2 linked regions of the Drosophila melanogaster genome follow. The protein of the gene in region 2 interacts with the protein of the main gene of each other region in a pairwise test. Each region holds a gene or a part of one and is shown on either strand. Other genes may lie near its edges.

The links.
Region 1: the proteins of RpL12 (region 2) and Art8 interact in a two-hybrid assay, tested with the Drosophila melanogaster proteins (2 studies listed by BioGRID).

The regions. Positions count from the first base shown.
Region 1 is NT_033779.5:11,009,110-11,013,157, reverse strand, and holds Art8 (arginine methyltransferase 8), read left to right. Parts: upstream 1-2,071; 5' UTR 2,072-2,165; coding exon 2,166-2,204; intron 2,205-2,236; exon of another isoform or gene 2,237-2,260; coding exon 2,261-3,247; 3' UTR 3,248-3,337; downstream 3,338-4,048. Other genes in the region: dUTPase (deoxyuridine triphosphatase), read right to left, coding at 1,151-1,717; Nup154 (nucleoporin 154kD), read right to left, coding at 3,399-3,531, 3,593-3,715, 3,781-4,048.
Region 2 is NT_033778.4:24,058,540-24,062,548, reverse strand, and holds RpL12 (ribosomal protein L12), read right to left. Parts: upstream 2,172-4,009; 5' UTR 2,105-2,171; intron 2,096-2,104; exon of another isoform or gene 2,037-2,095; 5' UTR 2,012-2,036; coding exon 1,975-2,011; intron 1,874-1,974; coding exon 1,800-1,873; intron 1,737-1,799; coding exon 1,556-1,736; intron 1,400-1,555; coding exon 1,194-1,399; 3' UTR 689-1,193; downstream 1-688. Other genes in the region: RpL39 (ribosomal protein L39), read left to right, coding at 159-161, 248-351, 557-605; eEF5 (eukaryotic translation elongation factor 5), read right to left, coding at 3,282-3,353, 3,416-3,617, 3,858-4,009.

The sequences.
Region 1 (4,048 bases), on a different chromosome or scaffold from region 2:
AGATCGGTGGGCGGCGAATGCCTCCAACTGGGGCGTTATGGGCACGCGGCTGACCTCCGGAGCGCTCGATGCGTCGCGGGTCAAGCGGAACCGTTGCGCCAAAAGGCAACCAAGGATGGCTGCAAAACAATTAAAAGCACGCAGCGCACCTTCCAGCGTCTAATTACAAATTGGAGTCATTGAATTTATTAAAATCGGCCGCGTAAATTGTGCAGCAATGCACTTGAGACACGCAAACTGATATTGTGGGCCATCGCCGGTTGGCGCTTCTTGGCTCTCATTACTCGGTCATAACTCACTGCGCCTGTCCGGTTGGTTCAAGTATCCCTAGCCACTTGAAAACCCATAAAGCCAAGTCGGCTTCCTCTTGCAGAAACATAATTGCTCGACTTCTGTTCAGCAAACTCCTTTTTTATGAAGATCTAAAGCGGTTTGTATACATACTCCGTTGGAAGTAAGTACTTCTAGTTACTAGAATATAGTTAGCACCAAGCGTTAACCTTTCGCGGCCCTTCATGCCTACTTAAATATGCAATACAAGTTACAGCTGTACATATGTATGTATATTAACCTTAAACTAGATCCATAATTCTGGATGGATGGTCAGTGCAATTTTTTGAAAAAGCCAAAATGAAGACACATCCCATTCATTGCCTAAATATGGAAATGAATTGTAAATAATTTATGTATGTTTCGATAACATTACTCCTGATACATTTTAGTAAAAGGTCCTTAGTAAAGACATTTAGTTAAAATTGGTTGGCTTGATGAAAATCGATATAAATATTTAGCTCAGAAATTGCGTGCATAAAAAAGTATTCAAAGGATATAAGTTATTTACCAGTTACCTCATAAGTGAGGAATAATTGTTTAAGCTGCCTGAAAAACCTAACACAAATTTTTTAAATAAAGAAAAATAAAAGCCTTTTAGAAATAACATGCCAAAAGTATGCAATGCATATCCAGGAAATCTAGTGATCCACCATCCACCAGTCAATCTAATGACACTATGGGAAACATTTCTTCGTAGATTTGCGGTTTTAATAGATAAAAATATACCAATACATTAACATATTTCACTTAAGGATACAGAATGAAACTCTTTGATAGTGACCATGAAGGGATTAAGAATGCGGCAATAGTTCCTCGTTTACGTAGCAACAGGAGCCGGAGCAGCTCCCTCCGGTTCGGCAGCCTTTTCTCCGTTGCCGTTCTGCGCCTTGGCTGCCGGCAGATCCTTGACTCCGGTGGAACCGAATCCTGCCTCGCCGCGCTCGGTGTCCTCCAGTTTGTCCACCATCACCAGTTGCGGATAGAAGATACGCTCGCAAATGAACTGGGCGATGCGGTCGCCATGCTTCACCTCGAAATCAACATCTGAGTGATTGAACAGGACGACGCCGAGATTGCCGCGATAATCCTCGTCCACCACACCGGCGCCCACATCAATGAAGTTCTTCACCGCCAGCCCGGATCGTGGGGCTACGCGTCCGTAGGAGCCCTCCGGAACCTGCACTTGCAGATCGGTCTTGACAATGGCCTTTCCGCGTGCCGGCACCACAACGTCGTAGGCGCTGCGCAGGTCAACTCCCGCCGCTTTGGCGGATCCCCTCACCGGCTCCAAAGCATTCTCGGTGAGTTTGGCGAATCGCAGGACGCACGTGTCGATCTTCATCTTCTTGGCAGCTGGAATGTCGGCGAAATCGGTTGATGGCATTTGGAGCAAATTGAGTTATTACAGGAATGCTTCGAAAGTACAGAGACTTTTTTCAGCTTACTTGCAGAATTCTGGTCTGAAAATAACGCGGTTTAACACAGCGTCGGAAAATTGGCGGACTTCCAGTGTTGCAAGATACCAAAAGTACAAATCGCCGAAAATCTACCAAAAAATCTTAAGTCAGCTTTGCATTTCTAAAAAACATATATACAACTATGCCTTGAGTTTAATTAAACAAATAATAAATAAAACAATAATTTAGGCATTAATAAATAAATCAAATTGATTTTATTAAGTAAAACGACCAATCACAACCAACCCTGATAAGCAACCCTATCGATATATCGATACTATTGTAGTTGATTAACACACCTCTATTTAGCACGTTGTTTTGAAAAATTCACTTGATGCGTTAATGTTAATGTGTTGATAACTGCAACTTTAAATCATGGCGAACACTTATTTCGATGAGTATGAAAACTTGGAGGTAAATAAGATTATAGATCTTCTTGTGAAACTGTACTCATAGTGACCAAACTACAGATCCACGAGCTCATGCTGAAGGATCGTCCTCGGCAAGAAGCCTACTACAATGCGATATTGGGGAATAAGGATCTGTTCAAGGACAAGATCGTAATGGATGTTGGTGCCGGCACAGGGATTCTGTCCGCCTTTTGTGCGAAAGCAGGAGCCCGTTTGGTCTACGCCGTAGAAGCATCCAATGTGGCCACCAAAGTTGCGCTGGATTTGATTGAGGATAACGGCCTGACGAACGTGGTGAAGGTGATCCAGTCGCGTGTTGAGGAATTCGTACTGCCTGCCGAGGCGGAAAAGGTGGACATCATTGTGTCCGAGTGGATGGGCTTCTACCTGCTGCACGAGGGCATGTTGGACTCGGTTCTCCTGGCCCGGGACAAGTTCCTCAAGGAGGGTGGACTCCTGTTCCCCAGCGAGTGCACAATTTTCGTGGCACCCTGCTCGGTACCATCGCTCTTCGATGATTGGCACAACGTGGACGGCATCAAAATGGACACGTTTGCCAGAAAACTCAGAACCCAAAAGTCATCCCGACCGGAGATTACACAGCTGAATCCGCAAGATCTTCTGCACGAGGGCGTCGTCTTTCACTGGATGAATCTGCTGGATGTGGAAGCCAGCGATTTGGACAGCATTCAGTTCAAGGAGGTAATAACAGCCCAGAAGGCGGGCAATCACCAGGGCTTCTGCATTTGGTTCGATGTACAGTTTCCTGGCGAAGATTTTGTTCTAAGCACATCGCCGCTATCCCCGCCAACGCATTGGAAGCAGTGTGTAGTCGTCCTGCCCGAGGAATCCTGCGAAAATCTGGAGGAGAAGTCACCCATTGCATTTCAAATCACAATGAAGCGCAGTGCTGCCGATATGCGTAAATACAATCTGGAGGTGGATTTGCTAGACCCCAACACAGAGGAGCATCCAGTGCCTTGCTCCTGTCACATGACGAAGTGCATTCTGACGGAAGCTCATCTAAAAATGATGGACACCTCATGAGTTACATGCCATCTCGGAATCCGAACAACGATCTGTGGGGAAATCAATTTATTTAACATGTTTAATACAAATACAATATATATCTCAGTCAAACTTAACGTCTAGTCCAGCACTTTCAAAAATTTAATTAAAATAACGCAGGCCGACGGCTTTAAATCAACAACCGCTGCAGCTGACTCTGAAGTTCCTTGAGTGAATGTTGAAGACGATTAGTGTCGGGCTTTTGGTAGCAAATATTCAGGCAGCCGGCCACTATGTCTTGAGCCTTGCCAACAATTCGTCGTCTGCAAGTTAAATGTGAATGTAAGTAAATCGTATCGGCTAGCATTTTACTTTTGCACTTACTTTGACCGGTACCAAATAGATTGTGCGTTGTCTGCCAGAAGCGAGACCACTCGTATGACGGATTGTATTAAATGCCACTCATTACCCTCGTTGGCCCACACTCGTTCGTTCATTGAAATCATTCTGAAAGTTTTTAAAAGTTTAGCCTTTAAACAATTTTATCTCTGCGAAAACCCTTCAATACGTACCTCGAATAGTATTCCAGGAGCAGTTCAATGTCCAAATTCATACTCACCAGTTTTTCCGGCACTATGCCCTCGGGAAATCGCAGTTGGCAGGCTTTAACTTCCAGTTCCCTTATGAGAAAGGCAAAGGGAAAGCAAACTCCAGACTCGCCATACTCCCTTACCAAGATTTCGATTTTCGTGAATAACCTATTGCAGCGCTCACTAGTTGTGCCCGGCTTATCCACAACGCTGTTGATAATCTGGCCCCAAACGGACTCGATCAGTAGGG
Region 2 (4,009 bases):
TTTTGTAATGCCTCAAATATTTTTCGTTCTATTTCATCATTCCGTATTGCATGAAATTGTGATAAGTGAACTTATCGATATAAACCCACCACCAGCGCGTATTCTTTTCCGGTCTGGTTCTTTCTTTCCGGTGTGGCTCGTTGAAAAGATTGGACGAAATGGTGGGAAATTTTTCTTATTTGTGTTTTTGATCAAATGTTTTGAATATATCGAGATACTAAACGTTCGTTACTTCTTTCTCCACCAGGCTGCACACAAGTCGTTCAGAATAAAGCAGAAGCTGGCTAAGAAGCTGAAGCAGAACAGATCCGTTCCCCAATGGGTTCGCCTACGTACTGGCAACACTATTCGGTAAGTTCGGTGTTGGTTTTCCATTTAAATGTTTAGTATTGCAGTGGCAAAAGTTTTGTAAGGGCAAAGTATCCCAACGCAAGTGCGTTTAATTGTTGAGTGTACTGTCACTACCTTATTTTTAATATTCTTAATAACATAAAGATCATTGGTGCAACATAATCTTATTCTAATATTAACTTCAACTTTCCGCTTTTTCTTTCAGTTACAACGCTAAGCGCCGTCACTGGAGGCGTACCAAGTTGAAGCTGTAAGCTGTTGATTCCAGGAGTTCCGCAATTTTGTGGAATGCTGAAGATCTTTTCGAGAATATGAAATAATAAATTCGTCTACAATTTGCGGATTAAATATACTCTCTTTTTATTTGTATCTTGGGAAAGGGGTGGCATACATGCATTCGTAAATGCAACGCAGGAAACCCAGGCGGAAAATGTGACCGAAAGCATTCTCCAGTAACGAAAACTGAACACTTTCTTATCAAGCATGTGCTTTTTGCGGGGCATGTGCGAATTGTTTACTTCTCATTTAATGGAAAGACCTTCCAAATATATAATTGTTTTAACAATGCAAGAGTTCTGCACATTGTTTTCTGCCTAATAGGAATTCAACTGTTAAACCGAACTAAGAAAGATTTTCCTATTGCGTTGCTTAATTGGCAAATCTACTCTGCTGAATTGATGCAATATTATGCACTTCTAGTTTTCCTCTTGTTTAACATTTAGCTAGCCTATCTGAAATCGCATTCACGGCCGCATTGAGCTCGAAAGTAAAATTCTGTCCGATTGGGTCAATTATTACAGACTGTATCGCGTACAATTTATTAATTCTGTTTAAAAAACTGTTTATTCCGCGGGGACTTCAATGGAGCCCTCGTTCAGTTCGTCAATAACATCGTGAGGGTGCTTTCCGTCAACGGTGCAGCCGACGCTCTGGGCGGTTCCCAGAACTTCCTTGCAGGTTCCCTTCAACTCACGGGCCATGGACCTGGGCCTCATCACGCGGGCGATGGCCAGAATGTCTTCGAAGCCAATGTTTCCACTGTGCTTGACTGTAAATTAAGAATATCTGCTGTTAATCGGGGGATCAAGCACAGAACCATCCAGTGCATGTGGGCACAGTGCGGTGGAAGCAAAGCTCCTCATTATCCACCACAGCCCGGCACAGGCATTGGAAGTCCAGTCCAGGATTGCCGGGCAATACTCACTGTTCTTCTGCTTCTTGCGGTCACGTGGGGGTTCCTTCAGAGCCTTGATGATCAGCGAGGCGGCGGAGGGAACCACGGAGATGGCGGCCTGTCGGTTCTGGATGGTCAGGCAGACGGTGATCTTCAGACCCTTCCAGTCGGAGGTGGCCTTGGCGATGTCATCACCGATTTTCTTGGGCGACTACAGAGAGACACTTTTGTTAGCGCGAATTGCACAAGTAAACAAACCGATTTGCATGCTTACCAGACCGAGGGGACCGATCTTTGGGGCCAGGGAGGATGTGGCACCGACTTCTCCGCCCACGCAACGCAGGTACACTGTAATTTGGGTGCAGAAATTCGTTATTGAAGATAATCCTCTATTATAAACTACGGTTTGCTCGAAGCTCAACTCCTCACAAAAACACTCGCTTACTTACCCAATTTAACTTCCGTTGGGTCGAATTTGGGAGGCATAGCGGTATCTTGGCTTGAACAGTCGCTGTAAGGCAAAGATTACGTTAGTTTTCGCCGATTTTATTTGAGACATTTTCAGCTCATGTACTTTACCGCAAAAAAGACACACAGAAAAAGAAAGAAGAAGCTATCGATTTCCGGGAGGACCGTTTGCAAGTGATGTATCGCCCAGTGCTATCGGAATAAAAAGTGTCTCGAATGGAACGCGGAATTGAAACGAGTGTAATGAGTTTATATTTTTATTTATTCTTAATTTGAAATTAGGCTTTAAGAAATCTTTTTTTTTTGTTGAAAATGTTAAATACTAGTTGATATATTTTAAGTTTAATTAAAATTCAGATTTACATTTTTTTAACTACATTTCATAGCGGTCGTTGTAAATATTTTTATCTTCTTGTTAGTTCAGTTAGTTCAATTTTGTTAGTTCAATCTAATATTTATTTATGATTATGCAAGTAATTTATATCTGCTAGCTGAAGAAATACTTATTTGAATTTTCTCTATCAACTTACTAAACCGATTTACAAGACAATTGGTATATCGATTGATTGGCATTTGGCTTAAAAAATTATCGATTATTCTTCTAATCTTACAACTTATGAAAATTGTTTTTATTGTTTTTGTACTTTTACTTGACCTTTCCGAAAGTCGGTACATCAATGTTGAAATGTTATTTAACAACGGCATTTAAACCGTACATATGTACATGTACATACATAAATTGGTACTATACGAAATTCCGACCTGCCTCAAACAATATGCCTCCTCCATTCTCTATATCCGAGTACCTTATCTTTTTCAGGATACACTACACTTTTAAATGGGGTGTAGCAAAGCTCAGTAGCGTTGTCAATAATACAAGTTCATCTTGTACCCATTCAAAACCGGTAGCGTCACCCCATCTGGTTCCCGCCGTTTACCATCACAATGCTAAGTGACGCCATTCATTCGTGCGTCCAGACCAACATTTTGTTTACTTTTCCCATTTAGCTGTGCGAATTAGAATAAAGTTTGCTGAAATAAAGAGCTTAAACCCAATGAAAAACAGGAGAATCATAGTTTTACGGATGACGTTTAGGTAAAAAATTTTATTGGCAAACGTGTATCTTGTTACTTAGTTATTCAAACATGATGCTTCGAGTTTCTGTTATATTAATTACAATCGTTAGAACCAGATTTAAGATGTAGAGCCAACTAGCCTATAACAGCATCTTTGAATAAATTTGTTTCAGATGTAAATGCAACAGAAATTTACAGCGACACATTTTGCCTATTTGTCCAGAGCAGTATTGGTTTTAATTGCGATAACGCACTCCTCTCCGCACGCCTTGAGAACGGTGCACTGAAAAAGTATAATTAAATTATTCTCTGCGAAATAATAATATGGTGTCGAGGCAAACTCACCAGTAAGTCCTTGCCACTATCAAAATCTAAACGCAATTGTTCACCCAATTCGCCCTCTGGAACCTTCAAGTCTTCACGCAGATCTCCGCTCTCGGTCATCAATGTAAGGAAGCTATCGTCACTAATAGCAATCAACTGAAGGTCCTCCCTTTTGACATTGGGCACATCCATGTTATGAGTAGATGGGCAAATATCTTCATATCTGCAAAGACGACGATAGACAAAGCAGGCGTTAAGTAAGAGGATCTGGATTTGGCTTGAGGTGGCGTCGCCGCGTTGAACTCTAATTTTCCTCCATAAATTTATTGATAACTTTGGTCCAAGATAAGATTGCTTGCGCACACTTTTCGTTGATTACATTCAAGAGCAGCGCGTCGCTTCCTTTGTGTTCTCCGCAAATGCTGCTGCCACCAGATAGGAAGAAATATGCGAATATACTCACTTCTTGTTAGAGAAAATATCAATGCCAACCATATGAACCTTGGCGTGTCCGTGCTTTCCAGTCTTTGAAGTAGACATCTCGACAATCTTGCATGGCCGCGACTTCAGCATGACGAATCCGTTTTTGCGCAATGCCGAACATTGCATGGGATA